Linked DNA regions of Saccharomyces cerevisiae S288C. The gene in region 1 interacts genetically with each later gene. Each region holds a gene or a part of one and is shown in the gene's direction. Other genes may lie near its edges. The genes, in order: HUT1, DGR2, HCS1 and PPN1.

What was found.
Region 2: mutations in HUT1 (region 1) and DGR2 together harm fitness more than expected from each alone (negative genetic interaction), as found in Saccharomyces cerevisiae (one large-scale study listed by BioGRID).
Region 3: mutations in HUT1 (region 1) and HCS1 together harm fitness more than expected from each alone (negative genetic interaction), as found in Saccharomyces cerevisiae (one large-scale study listed by BioGRID).
Region 4: mutations in HUT1 (region 1) and PPN1 together harm fitness more than expected from each alone (negative genetic interaction), as found in Saccharomyces cerevisiae (one large-scale study listed by BioGRID).

What each region holds. Positions count from the first base shown.
Region 1 is NC_001148.4:86,506-89,727, reverse strand, and holds HUT1 (UDP-galactose transporter HUT1), read left to right. Parts: upstream 1-1,694; coding exon 1,695-2,714; downstream 2,715-3,222. Other genes in the region: signal recognition particle subunit SRP68, read right to left, coding at 1-1,211; YPL245W (uncharacterized protein), read right to left, coding at 2,778-3,222. UniProt on the Saccharomyces cerevisiae protein: May be involved in specific transport of UDP-Gal from the cytosol to the Golgi lumen. Involved in the maintenance of optimal conditions for the folding of secretory pathway proteins in the endoplasmic reticulum.
Region 2 is NC_001143.9:212,596-217,265, forward strand, and holds DGR2 (Dgr2p), read left to right. Parts: upstream 1-1,546; coding exon 1,547-4,105; downstream 4,106-4,670. Other genes in the region: signal recognition particle subunit SRP21, read right to left, coding at 1-403.
Region 3 is NC_001143.9:404,627-409,196, reverse strand, and holds HCS1 (ATP-dependent 5'-3' DNA helicase HCS1), read left to right. Parts: upstream 1-1,955; coding exon 1,956-4,007; downstream 4,008-4,570. Other genes in the region: PUT3 (Put3p), read right to left, coding at 1-653; ATP7 (F1F0 ATP synthase subunit d), read left to right, coding at 1,208-1,732; WD-repeat containing protein SWD2, read right to left, coding at 4,106-4,570. UniProt on the Saccharomyces cerevisiae protein: DNA polymerase alpha-associated DNA helicase which may be involved in DNA replication.
Region 4 is NC_001136.10:1,361,059-1,365,439, forward strand, and holds PPN1 (endopolyphosphatase), read left to right. Parts: upstream 1-1,819; coding exon 1,820-3,844; downstream 3,845-4,381. Other genes in the region: YHP1 (Yhp1p), read right to left, coding at 62-1,123; thioredoxin peroxidase TSA2, read right to left, coding at 4,014-4,381. UniProt on the Saccharomyces cerevisiae protein: Catalyzes the hydrolysis of inorganic polyphosphate (polyP) chains of many hundreds of phosphate residues into shorter lengths.

The sequences.
Region 1 (3,222 bases):
AGCAGCTCGTCATCTGAATACACACCAGGTAGCTCCATTATGTCCGATAAATATTTTGTCAAATTCTTCACAATACGTTCCATTTCTTTATATTTGGTTAACTTCGATGGTAATGAAGTATTTAATTTCAGCCATTGATTCCATAAATGAGTAAACAAATCTCTTTCACGAGATATAGAGGTCAAAAGAATATTATATTTAATGTAGGCTAAAATTATCTGATTGTTTTCAGAACTATTTTCAACCATCTCGTCTATGTCATCTTGATCGTCGTGGTTTGCGATGAAAAATTCATGACGGTCTAAAGCTTTCTCCAATTTTGATAGCCTCTGTGTATATTGAGTAATCTGAGTTGGGTGGATAGATAGACCTTGTTCCAAAAATTGAGCAACTTCAGCATCGATTATCTTGGCGTTGAAAGATCTCCAGTTTATGTTAGTGGTAACCTTTTGATCTTCAGTTGAGGTTGTAATTTTTTTCATATTGAATCCATTGTCTAATAACAATTTCACAAGCTCATCGTCCTTGTTCTCATCAGATTGAACTCTTTCCACGATAAAGTTATTTATTTCGGGCGTTGTAATTAAATTTCCCGCGTACTGCTTGAGAGAGTACTGGTATTTATTAACAATGTTATCTACAACTTCTTCAGCTAATAAGCTTAGATTCTTCAAGTGTTCCAATGCGGCGAAAACGAGGGCTAGGTTGTTCGAAATTTTGGCATTGTCCTTCCTCTTGAACCTTTTTCCATTAATTAGGTACTCTGAATGTACCAATTTAGCGAACGCTAAATATTGGGCACGAGTTATCCATTGCTGTTCATTTTGAGTGACGTTAACCAATTTATCAGCAGTCTTGCAGGCCTTCTTCAATCTTGTGGATAAAACCTTTTCTTCACTTTTCTTTAACTTTCCTCTTTGACGAGCTCTCAATTTCAAAGTTTCAGCCAGTGCCAAGTCCCTTTCAGCGTGTAGTAAAATCAAAACACCAATCAATTTAGTTTTATTATCATAATCCTCGGAGTTAATTTCGCCATACTTATTTTTACTTGAGTATTTCTTTGTATCCTTGGTGACCAAATGGCAACGGCTCCTCAAGTGTTGCAACTTTTTATTCAATTTCGCATGATACTTAGCGAAGTCTGAGTCTGTTTCTAAAAACTGTTCTGCACGATTACCATAGGTGGCAATGATTGGAGAATAGGCAACCATCTTTAGTTTCAAGCGTGGCTAGTTTTTGATTCAATATGGAAAAAAAGAAAATTACACTGTAATATAATACAATTGATCACTTTGATGCTCAAATAATTCAAATAACCTAGTCTCCAGCTGCTCGTTTATGCTAATATTGTTGGATTAACTCTAGCAAATATACTCCAAAAAAAATTTTCAGAACTTATCACGAACAACGATGTGGTAAAGACAACGAAATACTACGTAAATCATATTGGTCTGCTCGTTTATAAAAGCTTACTCCCAATCAAATCACTGCAATGGAATATGTCGTTTGGTTCGTTGTTGTAGTTTGTGGAATGCCAGAATCATCAGCTGTTTCTCTTCCAAAGCTTCCCTGAGATCGCTTCTAAAGGTTGTTTTGTAGATCCCATCGAACATGAAAAAATGACAGCAATGTAATTAGAACCAGAATTACAACGTAACAAGAAGAAGTAAACAAGGCAGTATTCGTATATTTGTATGGCGGGAAGTACATCCAGTTTGGTGATCTGTGCGATTGGTATATATGCTACTTTTTTGACGTGGGCATTAGTACAGGAGCCTTTGGCTACAAGAACCTGGCCAAACTCCATGGGAAAGTTTCAATTCCCTAATGTAATATCCCTCATACAAGCTTCTGTGGCAATGATGATGGGCTACCTGTACTTAAACTGGAAGAAGGTGGAATATCCGCCCAGAAAAATGATTAAAGATCATTGGAAACAATTGATGTTGATATCATTTACACAGAGTAGTTCAGGCCCGCTGGCTACAACTTCTTTAAAGCACGTGGATTATCTCACTTACATGTTAGCAAAGTCATGCAAGATGATCCCCGTGTTGTTGGTGCATTTGCTTTTGTATAGGACGCCCATAGCAAGCCAAAAAAAAGTTGTAGCTCTCTTGGTAAGTCTCGGTGTCACTATTTTCACTATAGGTGGCAACGATGGTAAAAAGTTGAAGAGATCCTTTAATGAGAGCGGAAATGATAACAAATTACAAGGGTTTGGACTACTTTTCTCTAGTTTATTCCTTGATGGATTGACCAACGCCACCCAAGATAAGCTACTAAAGGCCAATAAGGCCAAAGAAAAGGGAAAACAAACTTTGATAACAGGTGCACACTTGATGTTTACACTGAACCTCTTCGTGATATTGTGGAATATTTTGTATTTTATTGTGATCGACTGCAAACAATGGGATAATGCCGTTTCTGTATTGACGATGGACCCACAAGTGTGGGGCTATTTAATGCTTTATTCGTTCTGTGGCGCTATGGGACAATGCTTTATTTTCTATACTCTAGAACAATTTGGCTCTTTAGTTTTGATCATGATAACAGTCACCAGGAAAATGGTCTCGATGATTTTGAGTATTATTGTCTTCGGTAAGAGTGTACGTTTCCAGCAATGGGTGGGGATGTTTATAGTATTTGGTGGAATCACTTGGGAAGCACTCAACAAGAAGAAGGCTAATATACCGAAGGCAAAATCTGCGTAGATTAGTGAAGATCGCAACAAATAAAAGTTAATATTTATAAAATTTGTCTATACTATGTACTTCCTATTTTTTTGATGGACGAAGCAGTCTCTCTCTTAATTCAGGATCGTATGCATAAACATACAGACCACGCACGCCACGAGTTAAGAGGACATTAATGCTATTCATAATAATCTTTTGCTTAACGTCCTCTGCATTGTGAATGTTTTTCTTTTTGGTGAAACCGGCCCTATCGTCATACAGCTCTGGTCTTAGTTTGATGCAGTCATTAGCCGCATCATACCCAATGGAACGGCCCAAAATTACACCAGCATAATTCAGATCAAACCCTTGGATAGTATACACACTACCTACCTCATCAATCGTGTCGCAACGCTCACTCCAAGGCGTCACTTCACGTGGAGTATAGCGATCCCAGCGAACTTTGAAATTGTCACCACATTCAACGTAATAGTCTTTTCCGTCCAAGCGATAGGGAAAATCGTAAGTAGATAGCATCCTACATTGG
Region 2 (4,670 bases), on another chromosome or scaffold:
TAGCAGTTTTCTTAGCCGCAGGATCGCTCTTTTCGACATCTGTGTTGACAATTAAGGTGGCTAAACCAACAATGTCTTGGATGCTCTTACCTTTTATTTTTTTACTCGATTCTTTTATTTTGTTATTTTTCTTCTTCGACTGTGCTATTTTTTCAATTTTACCTGGAGTTATAGATACGCCTCGTGGGCCTAATGCACTAAGTAATCTTGAAACATCTTTACTCTTATTAGTAGTAAATTTATAGTTCAAGGATAAATGCGAGTTATGAGTTCTAAAGGACACTTTGGTGTCTGTCTTCTGTGTTGGTGGTTTATACGATATGGAGAAGAGCGTTTGAGATGGATTCACCTCAAAAAGGCGAACACTGTTCGTGATGTAGTTGTCAATGGGTTTCACAGACATGTTTTCCAGTTCAATTAGGTCTGTTAATTTGCTCGCGGAGGGAAGCTCTTTTATTTGGGTCAATCGAAGACAGCACAATTGAAACTTTTAGCATTGTTCTCGCGAAAATAGTCAGTTCTTAACTTTTCAAGAGTGGTGCGGCTTACCCTGCCTTCTGCCATAAGTAAAAAGTGACGCAAATAGCGGAACTATTGTCATTGTTATTGACATTAATAATCTGTATTTGTGCTCATCCGGTTCCATTTACTAGTATGCAGACGTATCTTTTTCAGCTGGACGAATTGAGGCTTTCATTAGCTAGTGTGGTAATGACAAACTCTTTGCACTGAGAAAATACTGGGGTGAGGAAACTTTTCTACCGAATTGCTTCCACATCTATCAAAGCATGATTATCAAGTATTCAAAGATCAAAGCATGATGTTTGCAAATAATAAATGTTCAGGCGTCATTTAATGTTGATAATGGTGTACGGGAAGTGACTTGTAAAAGGTAGGGGAAACCGTCAGTCTATCACTAGTGGTGTATCTGATGGAAGTGCCCTTTTATATTTTTTGCCGTACACAGGTAAAGAAATGAAAGTACTAATTATCCCCCATACTCTTTGTTTCTCTTGTGTTGTTTATGATCAATCCTTCTAATTTAATCATTCAATAACTAAATATTTAAAAAGATGTAATTGCCGCAAAAAAAACTCTCAATTATTTACTATTTTGAAACAGTCTCTCAGATAGTATGCGCCATATTGGTGTGATGATTCCTGTGAAAGCATTTTTGGGTTTGTTTAGGTGCCTTCTTTTCTTTATTTAGCATAACCGCCAATACGGAATGAAAAGTCCGTTTTAATGTACCGCTAATAATTCAAAATGCGTAAAAGAGTTTTCATAAAAAGGGTATTTGCGTCAAGCAGGAAGAAATTTTGAAAACAACTAACAGGCAACTTACAGGCATATACTGACTTTAGTAAACGTCTTCCGCTATTCTAAGAAGGAGCTGACTTGAACAAGATCTTTATTTTAACGGTGCGACAAAAACAAGGAAAGTTTACAAGCGCTAGCCGTCGAAGACGTCAATTGCACTATTACTCAGTACCGTTTTAATCCTTACCAACGTAGAATTACTATTTGTGCAGTAGGAGCCTGTGAAATGTTCAAGTCGAAAACAAGCACTTTAAGCTATGATGAAACCCCGAACTCCAACGAGGGTGATCGCAATGCAACCCCTGTAAATCCCAAAGAAAAGAGCCAAACGAAACATTTGAACATACCAGGCGACAGGAGCCGACATTCCTCTATTGCAGATTCAAAAAGAAGCTCTTCTAGATATGATGGAGGCTACTCTGCCGATATAATTCCTGCTCAATTAAGGTTCATTGATAATATAGACTACGGCACGAGGCTGAGAAAAACACTTCACAGAAACTCAGTGGTTTCAAATGGGTACAATAAACTCAGTGAGAATGACCGATGGTATTTCGACCTATTCGATAGGAAATATTTCGAAAACTATCTCGAAGAACCCACATATATTAAAATATTTAAAAAAAAGGAAGGATTAGAACAGTTTGATAGAATGTTCTTAGCTCAAGAGTTGAAAATTCCCGACGTTTACAAATCTACAACCTACCAGGGAGAACCTGCAGTTGCTAATTCAGAGCTATTCAAGAATTCAATATGCTGCTGTACGTTCAGTCATGATGGTAAGTATATGGTTATTGGTTGTAAAGATGGCTCTTTGCATCTTTGGAAAGTCATAAACTCACCAGTTAAGAGATCCGAAATGGGACGCTCAGAAAAGTCAGTCAGTGCCTCTAGAGCAAACTCACTAAAGATTCAAAGACATTTGGCGAGCATTAGTTCTCATAACGGCTCCATATCAAGTAATGATTTGAAGCCGAGCGACCAGTTTGAAGGACCTTCCAAACAATTACATTTATACGCACCGGTTTTCTATTCTGATGTGTTTAGGGTTTTTATGGAGCACGCTTTAGATATTTTGGATGCAAACTGGTCCAAAAATGGATTTCTAATAACAGCATCAATGGACAAAACTGCAAAACTATGGCACCCTGAGAGGAAATACTCATTGAAAACTTTTGTTCACCCAGATTTTGTTACATCCGCAATATTTTTTCCCAATGATGATCGTTTCATAATTACCGGATGCTTAGATCACAGGTGTAGACTGTGGTCTATACTGGACAATGAGGTTTCTTATGCCTTTGATTGCAAAGATTTGATAACATCCCTAACATTATCTCCTCCTGGTGGGGAATATACAATTATCGGTACATTCAATGGATACATTTATGTTTTACTGACACATGGATTAAAATTTGTATCTTCATTCCATGTATCTGATAAAAGCACTCAAGGAACCACTAAGAATAGCTTTCATCCATCTTCCGAATATGGAAAGGTCCAACACGGCCCTCGAATCACGGGTTTACAATGCTTCTTTTCTAAGGTGGACAAAAATTTAAGATTGATAGTTACGACAAATGATTCAAAAATTCAAATCTTTGATTTAAATGAAAAAAAACCTTTAGAGCTTTTTAAAGGATTCCAAAGTGGTTCCTCACGTCATAGAGGCCAATTCCTAATGATGAAAAATGAACCTGTAGTTTTCACGGGAAGTGATGATCATTGGTTTTATACCTGGAAAATGCAGTCCTTTAATCTTTCAGCAGAAATGAATTGCACTGCTCCGCATAGAAAGAAACGGCTGAGCGGCAGTATGAGTTTAAAAGGGCTGTTGAGAATTGTATCTAATAAGAGTACGAATGATGAATGTTTGACAGAAACGTCAAACCAAAGCAGCTCACACACATTTACCAACTCATCAAAAAATGTTCTTCAAACTCAAACTGTTGGTTCTCAAGCTATCAAAAACAATCATTATATATCATTTCATGCCCATAACTCCCCTGTCACATGTGCTTCCATTGCTCCCGACGTTGCAATTAAAAATTTGTCCTTGTCAAACGATTTGATTTTCGAACTGACTTCACAGTACTTCAAAGAAATGGGCCAAAATTATTCAGAATCTAAGGAAACATGTGATAACAAACCTAATCACCCAGTTACAGAAACAGGAGGATTCAGCTCAAACCTATCGAACGTTGTGAATAATGTTGGAACCATTCTAATAACAACAGACAGTCAAGGTCTAATCCGTGTTTTCAGAACTGATATCTTACCGGAAATACGAAAAAAAATAATAGAAAAGTTCCATGAATACAATTTATTCCACCTCGAAGCTGCTGGTAAAATCAACAACCACAACAATGACAGCATATTGGAAAATAGAATGGATGAAAGAAGTTCCACAGAGGATAATGAGTTTAGCACAACCCCACCATCTAACACGCACAATAGTAGGCCAAGCCACGATTTTTGTGAGCTGCATCCTAATAATAGCCCGGTGATTTCCGGCATGCCATCAAGAGCTAGTGCTATTTTCAAGAATTCGATCTTTAATAAATCCAATGGAAGTTTTATATCCCTAAAGTCAAGAAGTGAAAGTACGAGCTCCACGGTGTTTGGACCGCATGATATTCCGAGAGTTTCTACCACTTATCCGAAGTTGAAATGTGACGTCTGCAATGGATCTAATTTTGAATGTGCTTCCAAAAACCCCATTGCTGGCGGTGATAGCGGTTTCACGTGTGCTGATTGTGGTACAATCCTCAATAATTTCAGATAGAGAATCAGAAAGTAAGAGGAAAAACTATCTGTTCCACCGTCTTTAGATCATAAGCATGTCTGCAAATAACATAGTATTATTATTTATATCTGTAGCGATCTTTATTATTTTTCATTACTGACACATTTTCTCACAGAACCATCTACAACCCGAAAGATGCCGGAAACGGTCTTAGGCCGATGGGGTCTATTAGGGCCTACAGAGACGTCAATTGGGCTATAAGAAAAATGAAATCGAGGAAAGATTTTCCACTCTCAAATTAAGTAGGGCAAAAATATGCTTTTGTTCGCATGTGGTGTTATTCCAGTTGCGAGTCAGGGTCTGCCGATATGCTAAAGGAGGTCACGAAAACGAATCTGGCATTTAATACCTCATTAAGTTACAGCGGAATCGGCCTTCTGTTGCGGAAAAAAAAAAAAAAAAGAAAACGAACATTAAGCACCGCTGAAATTTCAAGCTGTGACTAAGTCGTCAAATGATAAATACTGCATATATATAAACTATGTGATTATATGCAACATTAAGATATACTTTCTTCTTCCATAATGCCCCCACTCCAGAACTC
Region 3 (4,570 bases), on another chromosome or scaffold:
AGCCTACCACTTCTTTGAGCAAAATTTGTTGATATTTCTTCATCATCTTCATCATCATCCTCATGACCATTGGCACCGTTGCCATTTTCGCCATTAGCATTAGCTGGTTGTTTAAAGATGCTGATGGCCTTTTTGTAGTATTTTTCCAAACTATGATCATAGCTCCTATTATTTGTGATTCTGTTGCTGTTGTCATCGTCGTTATCGTTATCGGACGCAGTGTTACTATTGGACATGAGGTCAAATATAGGAGCCGCCGGAGCGCTGGATACTTCCAATGTGTCACTTGAGGGTGCATTGTTTATATGCCTCTCGTCATCATCGCTGTTATCCTTACCACGTACACTCACTGGTCTCTCCAAGAGCAAAGCTTTCAGGCGGTTATTCTCTTCAGTTTTATCATTCAAGTCTTTTTGCAGTTGTTGCAGATACTTTGTCGACACAACAATTTTTTTTGACGGCTCCAAGTACTCACATATGGCATTGCTCGTAACACATTTTTGGCAAGGGTTACCACCAGGACATTTTATATGACGTTTCCTACAAGAAAGGCATGCGACAGAAGATCTCTGCTGCCTTTTTTGCGGTTGTTTATTAACGTAGGCTGGTTGCTTAGATTGTATCGAATGCCTACTGCCTTGGTCGGTCACCATTAAACTCGTTAAGATCACTGCAATTATCCTATCAATGAGTTAGTTGGACCAGTGTCGTATTTATCGTTATTGTAATGGTTACTTACTAATTGCTGCTTAGAAAGCTTTAAATTGCCGCCGAAGTCAAGTATATCATCAAGCACCTGGTGGATGTTTTCATTTTTACTCCAATATTCGCCACCTCATTGCCGCGGAGAAATATCGTTTATAATGACATATCCGATGACTCAATCCCATAAACGAGGTATGGGTGTATATCACGTGATATATTATGCTCACGTGATGACCACGTGACTAATGAGCGGGTTACAAGAATTATTTTCTCTTCGATTTGATTGGATATTTGTCTTGATGCCCCCAAAAAAGTAAAAGATACACCAATTACCACTTGCTGCTTAGCGTAGGTGTAAAACATATTTCTACTAGTACAATACTTTTCTATATAAGTTTATATATTCATATTGACACGTAACGCAAAAGAACAATCTTAGGATTTAAAAGAAATTTTTCGTGCACTTAATTGCAGAATCACCTAATTATATTTTTGTTCGACTATGTCTTTGGCCAAATCCGCTGCTAACAAACTTGACTGGGCAAAAGTCATCTCTTCTCTACGTATAACAGGGTCGACTGCCACTCAATTATCGAGTTTTAAAAAGAGAAACGATGAGGCACGTAGACAATTACTAGAGCTGCAAAGTCAACCCACCGAAGTAGATTTCAGTCATTATAGATCTGTGTTGAAAAACACTTCAGTCATTGACAAGATAGAATCATACGTTAAGCAATATAAGCCGGTCAAAATCGATGCCTCCAAACAATTACAAGTGATTGAGTCTTTTGAAAAGCACGCAATGACCAACGCCAAGGAGACAGAATCCTTAGTTTCCAAGGAGTTAAAGGATTTGCAAAGCACCTTAGATAATATTCAATCTGCAAGACCTTTCGATGAATTAACTGTTGACGACCTGACAAAGATCAAACCTGAAATTGATGCTAAGGTAGAAGAGATGGTCAAGAAGGGTAAATGGGACGTACCTGGTTACAAGGACAGATTCGGCAATTTGAATGTGATGTAGTACCCTTTACCTCTATATATTACGCACCATATTCTATTATTTTTTTCACAGGTTTATATAACTGGCAAATATTATAATTAAACATTCTTACTGTCATATATACACAAATGTGCGCCTGCATATCCTTACGCTAAGAAAATCTTGTACGTTACATATATTTCAAAAATATGAAGGCTGATGTAAAGTTGTCTCTTGAGAAATATAGAAAAAAGAGTAGAGGGAAATGAACAAAGAATTGGCTTCTAAGTTTTTATCAAGCATCAAGCATGAACGTGAACAAGACATTCAAACAACTTCTAGGCTATTAACAACGCTATCTATCCAACAATTGGTGCAAAATGGCTTGGCAATAAACAACATACATCTAGAAAACATAAGATCCGGTCTCATTGGCAAATTATATATGGAACTGGGACCTAACTTGGCGGTTAACGACAAAATTCAAAGGGGTGATATTAAGGTTGGTGATATTGTTTTGGTACGCCCTGCAAAAACCAAAGTAAATACCAAGACTAAGCCCAAAGTCAAAAAGGTGTCTGAAGACTCCAATGGCGAGCAAGCGGAATGCTCAGGCGTTGTCTACAAAATGAGTGATACTCAAATCACCATAGCTCTAGAAGAATCTCAAGATGTTATTGCTACCACATTTTATTCTTATAGCAAACTTTACATTTTAAAGACTACCAATGTCGTCACGTATAATAGAATGGAATCCACAATGAGAAAACTGTCTGAAATTAGTTCACCCATACAAGACAAAATTATACAATACTTGGTAAACGAACGCCCCTTCATCCCCAATACAAACAGCTTTCAAAACATTAAATCTTTTTTAAACCCGAATCTGAATGACTCCCAGAAAACTGCCATTAATTTTGCCATTAACAATGACTTGACCATTATACATGGTCCTCCTGGTACGGGTAAAACATTCACATTAATTGAATTGATCCAGCAATTGCTAATTAAAAATCCTGAGGAGAGAATCTTAATTTGTGGGCCTTCCAATATTTCTGTGGATACGATTCTGGAGAGGCTAACGCCTCTTGTGCCGAATAATTTATTATTAAGAATCGGTCATCCTGCTAGGCTATTAGACTCTAATAAAAGACACTCTCTTGATATACTTAGTAAAAAGAATACTATTGTGAAGGACATTTCCCAGGAGATTGACAAATTAATTCAGGAGAATAAAAAACTAAAAAACTATAAGCAACGTAAAGAAAACTGGAACGAAATTAAACTGCTGCGCAAAGATTTAAAGAAAAGAGAGTTCAAAACCATTAAGGACTTAATAATACAATCGAGAATAGTCGTCACCACTTTACACGGTTCATCATCGAGAGAACTATGCTCCCTTTATAGAGATGATCCAAATTTCCAGCTTTTCGATACCTTGATCATCGATGAAGTCTCACAGGCCATGGAACCACAATGCTGGATCCCACTAATTGCACATCAAAATCAGTTCCACAAACTAGTCCTTGCTGGTGACAATAAACAATTGCCACCCACAATCAAAACAGAAGACGACAAAAATGTCATTCACAATTTGGAAACCACACTATTTGACAGAATAATCAAAATATTCCCGAAAAGGGATATGGTAAAATTTCTTAACGTTCAATACAGGATGAATCAAAAAATTATGGAATTTCCATCGCACTCAATGTATAATGGGAAACTATTGGCCGATGCAACGGTCGCGAACAGACTTTTGATAGACCTACCGACCGTCGATGCTACGCCATCTGAGGATGATGACGATACAAAAATTCCTTTAATTTGGTATGATACGCAAGGTGATGAATTTCAAGAGACTGCAGATGAAGCTACTATCCTTGGATCTAAGTATAATGAGGGCGAAATTGCCATTGTAAAAGAACACATTGAGAATTTAAGGTCATTCAACGTCCCGGAGAACTCTATAGGTGTTATTTCTCCATACAATGCACAAGTTTCTCATCTGAAAAAATTGATCCATGATGAATTAAAATTAACTGATATTGAAATATCAACTGTAGATGGGTTCCAGGGCCGTGAAAAAGATGTTATCATATTGAGTTTAGTTCGTAGCAATGAAAAATTTGAAGTTGGTTTCCTTAAGGAAGAACGAAGACTGAACGTCGCCATGACAAGACCCAGAAGGCAACTAGTTGTTGTTGGCAATATAGAAGTTCTGCAAAGGTGCGGTAACAAGTACCTAAAAAGTTGGTCAGAATGGTGTGAAGAGAACGCTGACGTAAGGTACCCCAACATTGACGATTATTTGTAAAGAATACACAAGATGTATAGAGTATACGTCGTTATACAGTAGGTAAAAAATGTTCGTTATATATTATATCCTCTAGTATATCAATGCAGTAGCAGCAGTCATTCATCGTACACGTAAAAATCTACTGTTTCGTCTGCGGTAACAAACATCGAATATTTAGGGTTGAATGCAATTGACCTGGGGCAGGTCTCATGAGAAACACAGGGAATGAACCCTTGCGGCCTTAATACTTTGTTACTTATTGAATCAGAATGATTCCAAATGGCAATCCTACCGTCATAATCGGTTCCAAGGACGAATTCACCATCTGGTGTGAAACAAGCAGATCCAGAATCTAGAAATTCTCTCATCGGGAAGGCCCTTGTTCCTATTAGTTCGAATAATTGTTGACCTGTGAATGCGTCAAAAATTAAATGCTTTCCTATCGAGGAGCCAACTAATAAATACTTTCCATTGTTAGAAAATTCTAATTTATTCCATTGACTGAAAGTCGCATCATTAATTTTAATTATCAAGAAAGGACCCTCCTGAATTTTTTTCAGATTATATAGCCCTATTTCGAA
Region 4 (4,381 bases), on another chromosome or scaffold:
TTGTGTAGTTTTTGTTAATATTGATAGCATCAGTGCTCAAGAAAATAAACACTGAGAAAGATTAGTTTTTGAAAGAATTGAGATCGACCTCCCCAAGGGGTTTTCTTTCGTATGCATTGAACTTTAGGCGGTTTTCCTTGCCTTTAGGACTTTTGATAATCTCGCTATGACCGGTATTTGATAATGTTCTCTTAACAAGCACAGATTTCCTGTGGAACTTGAGCTGTCCGCCGGGCTTGCAAGGCGTTATGTGGTGGTCTTCGAAGATCGAGGACGTATTGGCAGGTGAAGTTTTCAGCAACTCTGCAGTAATAGCCTCCTTCGTACTCGTTGGCGTAGAGGTAATTTCCAACGCAGCGTCTGAGTAAGATATCATAGACATCGAATCATTAGAGTGAACTTTGCAATGGCTGGTGTTGCCACTGTTCTTGTGCTTTTTAGCAGCCTGCCTTTTGTTCTGAAACCATATTTGAACCGATTTTTCGGACATATTACATTGCTCGGATAACTCTATCCTTTTAGCCTTATTGGGCGTGGGACATTCGTCAAATGCTGTTTGCAATATCCCAAGCTCATATGATGAAGTTCTTCTTCTTTTCCGACGAGCTAACCGAGCATTGTCTATCTTAGGCTCCTTCTTTGGAAAAGTTTCCTGTGAGTGTGTAATAAAGGCAAATGACCTTTTCTTTTCTTTTCTTGTGGTTGGTGTGAGAACAGCCTTTGCAGCAGATAGAGGAGTAAGAATATTAACTTTTTTATAAGAGTGCATACTCTGAGGTGGCTGCTCTTTAGAACAGACTCTGACCGTTGGCGTGAATGGTGAATGAGAGCTCAGCTTCTTGGGCTTGGATAAAGGCGTCATGGAAGTGGTTACACGTTGTGATAAGAAATCCACAGCCTGTGGACTTTTCCTTTTTGGCCTTTCCTCATCGCAAGGACTTTTATAAATATTTACCACTGGTCTCACAATGTGCGCAGATGCAGCTAATGGTGGCAACCTGATGTCACCTTGGTCATCACTAGGGAAGTTTGTATTTGGCAAAGTATGCAGTTGGAAAGGCGAATTAGAAGTACCTGTAATAATGTTTGGTAAAGAAGGAAGCACGGTATTTCTGCTTTCCATGTTATATATATACGATATTTTGTGTTATTGTTATTTCCCTACAAATGCTAGTTACACTGGCTGGCGAGGGTAAAGAAGAAGATAATACGAATTATAATCTACGTTGGCAAGATCGGGAGGACGCCATATATATATTTATAAACATTCATCTGTGTGATCCAGATCAAACAAATAAACAATGAGTAAACGAAAAATCTGGCTGAAATGTCTCATGCTATTAACCCAATTCAGCATTGATATTAAAAATACCGACGTATCCCTGCACGGAAAGCGCGTCTGATGTTTACCATTCCGGGTTTTTGGCGCGCGTCATGTCCAAATTAGGACGTGGTTTATAGCCGAAAGAGGAAATGTGATCTGCCCACCTGTGCGGCCCTTCTCTGAGCGTTTCGAGCAGGATGCATAATATGCTCCCTTCGTACGGTAGAGGACAAATATGACCATTACCCGACTATTGAGGACATATGTCGTTATTAGAATTTAGCACCTTTAAAGTTATATTGCACTTTTAATTACCAAGATTCATTTGAGAGTGTAAAGGGTTTTATGGTAGAATACAAGTCAGAAGAAGGCTAAAATCAACAGATCAATATTTTTTTTGGTTGTTGGGTTGGAGAATTATAAAGTTTTTTTGATCTCCTTGTCTCCAGCTATTGTTTTCATTGAGTAGGGGTAGAGCTAGTTAGCTGCTTTTCGATGGTTGTAGTGGGTAAGAGTGAAGTGCGCAATGTAAGCATGAGTAGGCCGAAGAAGAAATCATTGATTGCCATCCTGTCGACCTGTGTTTTGTTTTTCCTCGTGTTTATAATTGGTGCTAAATTTCAATATGTTTCCGTTTTCTCCAAATTCTTAGATGACAGGGGGGACAACGAGTCACTTCAATTGCTCAATGACATAGAATTTACAAGGCTAGGACTGACACCTAGGGAGCCAGTAATTATCAAAGACGTAAAGACAGGGAAGGAGAGAAAATTACATGGACGGTTCCTTCATATTACCGATATTCATCCTGACCCTTATTATGTGGAAGGAAGCTCTATTGATGCAGTTTGTCACACAGGAAAACCAAGCAAAAAAAAGGATGTGGCACCCAAGTTTGGGAAGGCAATGTCTGGATGTGATTCTCCCGTTATTTTAATGGAAGAAACTCTGAGATGGATTAAAGAAAATCTTAGAGATAAGATTGATTTTGTCATTTGGACGGGTGATAATATCAGACATGACAATGACCGGAAACATCCAAGAACAGAAGCACAAATTTTTGATATGAACAATATCGTTGCTGATAAAATGACAGAATTATTTAGTGCTGGCAATGAAGAAGATCCAAGAGATTTTGATGTGTCTGTCATTCCAAGTCTTGGAAACAATGATGTCTTTCCACATAACATGTTTGCACTAGGACCAACTCTACAAACTAGAGAATATTATAGGATTTGGAAAAATTTTGTTCCGCAGCAGCAGCAAAGAACTTTTGATAGGAGTGCTTCATTTTTGACTGAAGTTATTCCAGGGAAGCTTGCTGTCCTGTCAATTAACACGCTGTACTTATTCAAGGCCAATCCGTTAGTTGACAATTGTAATTCAAAAAAAGAACCAGGTTACCAACTTTTACTTTGGTTCGGTTATGTATTAGAAGAACTAAGGAGTAGGGGAATGAAAGTATGGTTAAGTGGACATGTACCTCCAATCGCAAAAAATTTCGATCAGTCGTGCTACGATAAGTTCACGCTATGGACTCACGAATACAGGGATATAATCATTGGAGGATTATACGGTCACATGAATATTGACCACTTCATCCCAACGGATGGTAAAAAAGCTAGAAAATCGTTATTGAAAGCCATGGAGCAATCCACTCGTGTTCAACAAGGAGAAGACAGTAATGAAGAGGACGAAGAAACTGAATTGAATAGAATTCTGGATCACGCTATGGCGGCAAAAGAAGTTTTTTTAATGGGAGCGAAACCATCTAACAAAGAAGCATATATGAACACCGTCCGCGACACATACTATCGGAAAGTGTGGAATAAGCTGGAAAGAGTGGATGAAAAAAATGTTGAAAATGAGAAGAAAAAGAAAGAAAAGAAGGACAAAAAAAAGAAAAAGCCAATCACTAGAAAAGAGCTCATTGAACGCTATTCCATTGTGAACATAGGTGGTTCAGTCATTCCAACTTTCAATCCTTCCTTTAGGATCTGGGAATATAACATCACCGACATAGTGAATGACTCCAATTTTGCAGTTTCGGAGTATAAGCCCTGGGATGAATTTTTCGAGTCACTAAATAAGATTATGGAAGACTCTTTGCTAGAAGATGAAATGGACAGCAGTAATATCGAGGTTGGGATCAACCGCGAGAAGATGGGCGAAAAGAAAAACAAGAAGAAAAAGAAAAATGACAAGACTATGCCAATTGAGATGCCAGACAAATACGAACTCGGCCCTGCATATGTACCGCAGTTATTCACTCCGACGCGTTTCGTCCAATTCTACGCCGACTTGGAAAAAATCAATCAAGAATTACATAATTCATTTGTTGAATCTAAGGATATTTTCAGGTATGAGATAGAATATACCTCAGACGAGAAACCATACTCAATGGATTCGTTAACAGTAGGAAGTTATTTGGATCTTGCAGGCAGATTATACGAAAACAAACCTGCATGGGAAAAATACGTCGAATGGTCATTTGCGTCTTCTGGATATAAAGATGATTAAGTTAATATACACATAGAAATGCATATCATTCTTCAATTACAGTTTCTTTTTCTTTTGTTACACTATTCTTTCAAGTCAATTTCATAATAATACAAAACCATCTTTCTTATCATATATAGGGTGATGTATTTTTAATTATTTAATAGGGCCTAGCGTTATCGTGCGAAGATTAATTATTGGCATTTTTGAAATACTCCTTGGAATCTTTAACGTCAGGTTTGATGGTGGCGGCTCCTGGGGTCCAGTTGCATGGCAAAACTGTACCATTTTTGTCAGTCCACTGGAAACCTTCGACTAATCTCAAAGCTTCATTGACGTTTCTGCCAACAGATAAATCATTGATAGTGATATGTCTAATGATTCCCTTCGGGTCGATTATGAACAAACCTCTTAAAGCTATACCTTCTTTTTCAATCAAAACGCCATAGTCTCTGGATAAGGAATGATTCTTATCAGCAAGCAAAGGAACTTTAACTGGACCTAATCCACCGTCTTTTCTGGGAAGGTTGGTCCATGCCAGTAAGGAATATTCAGAGT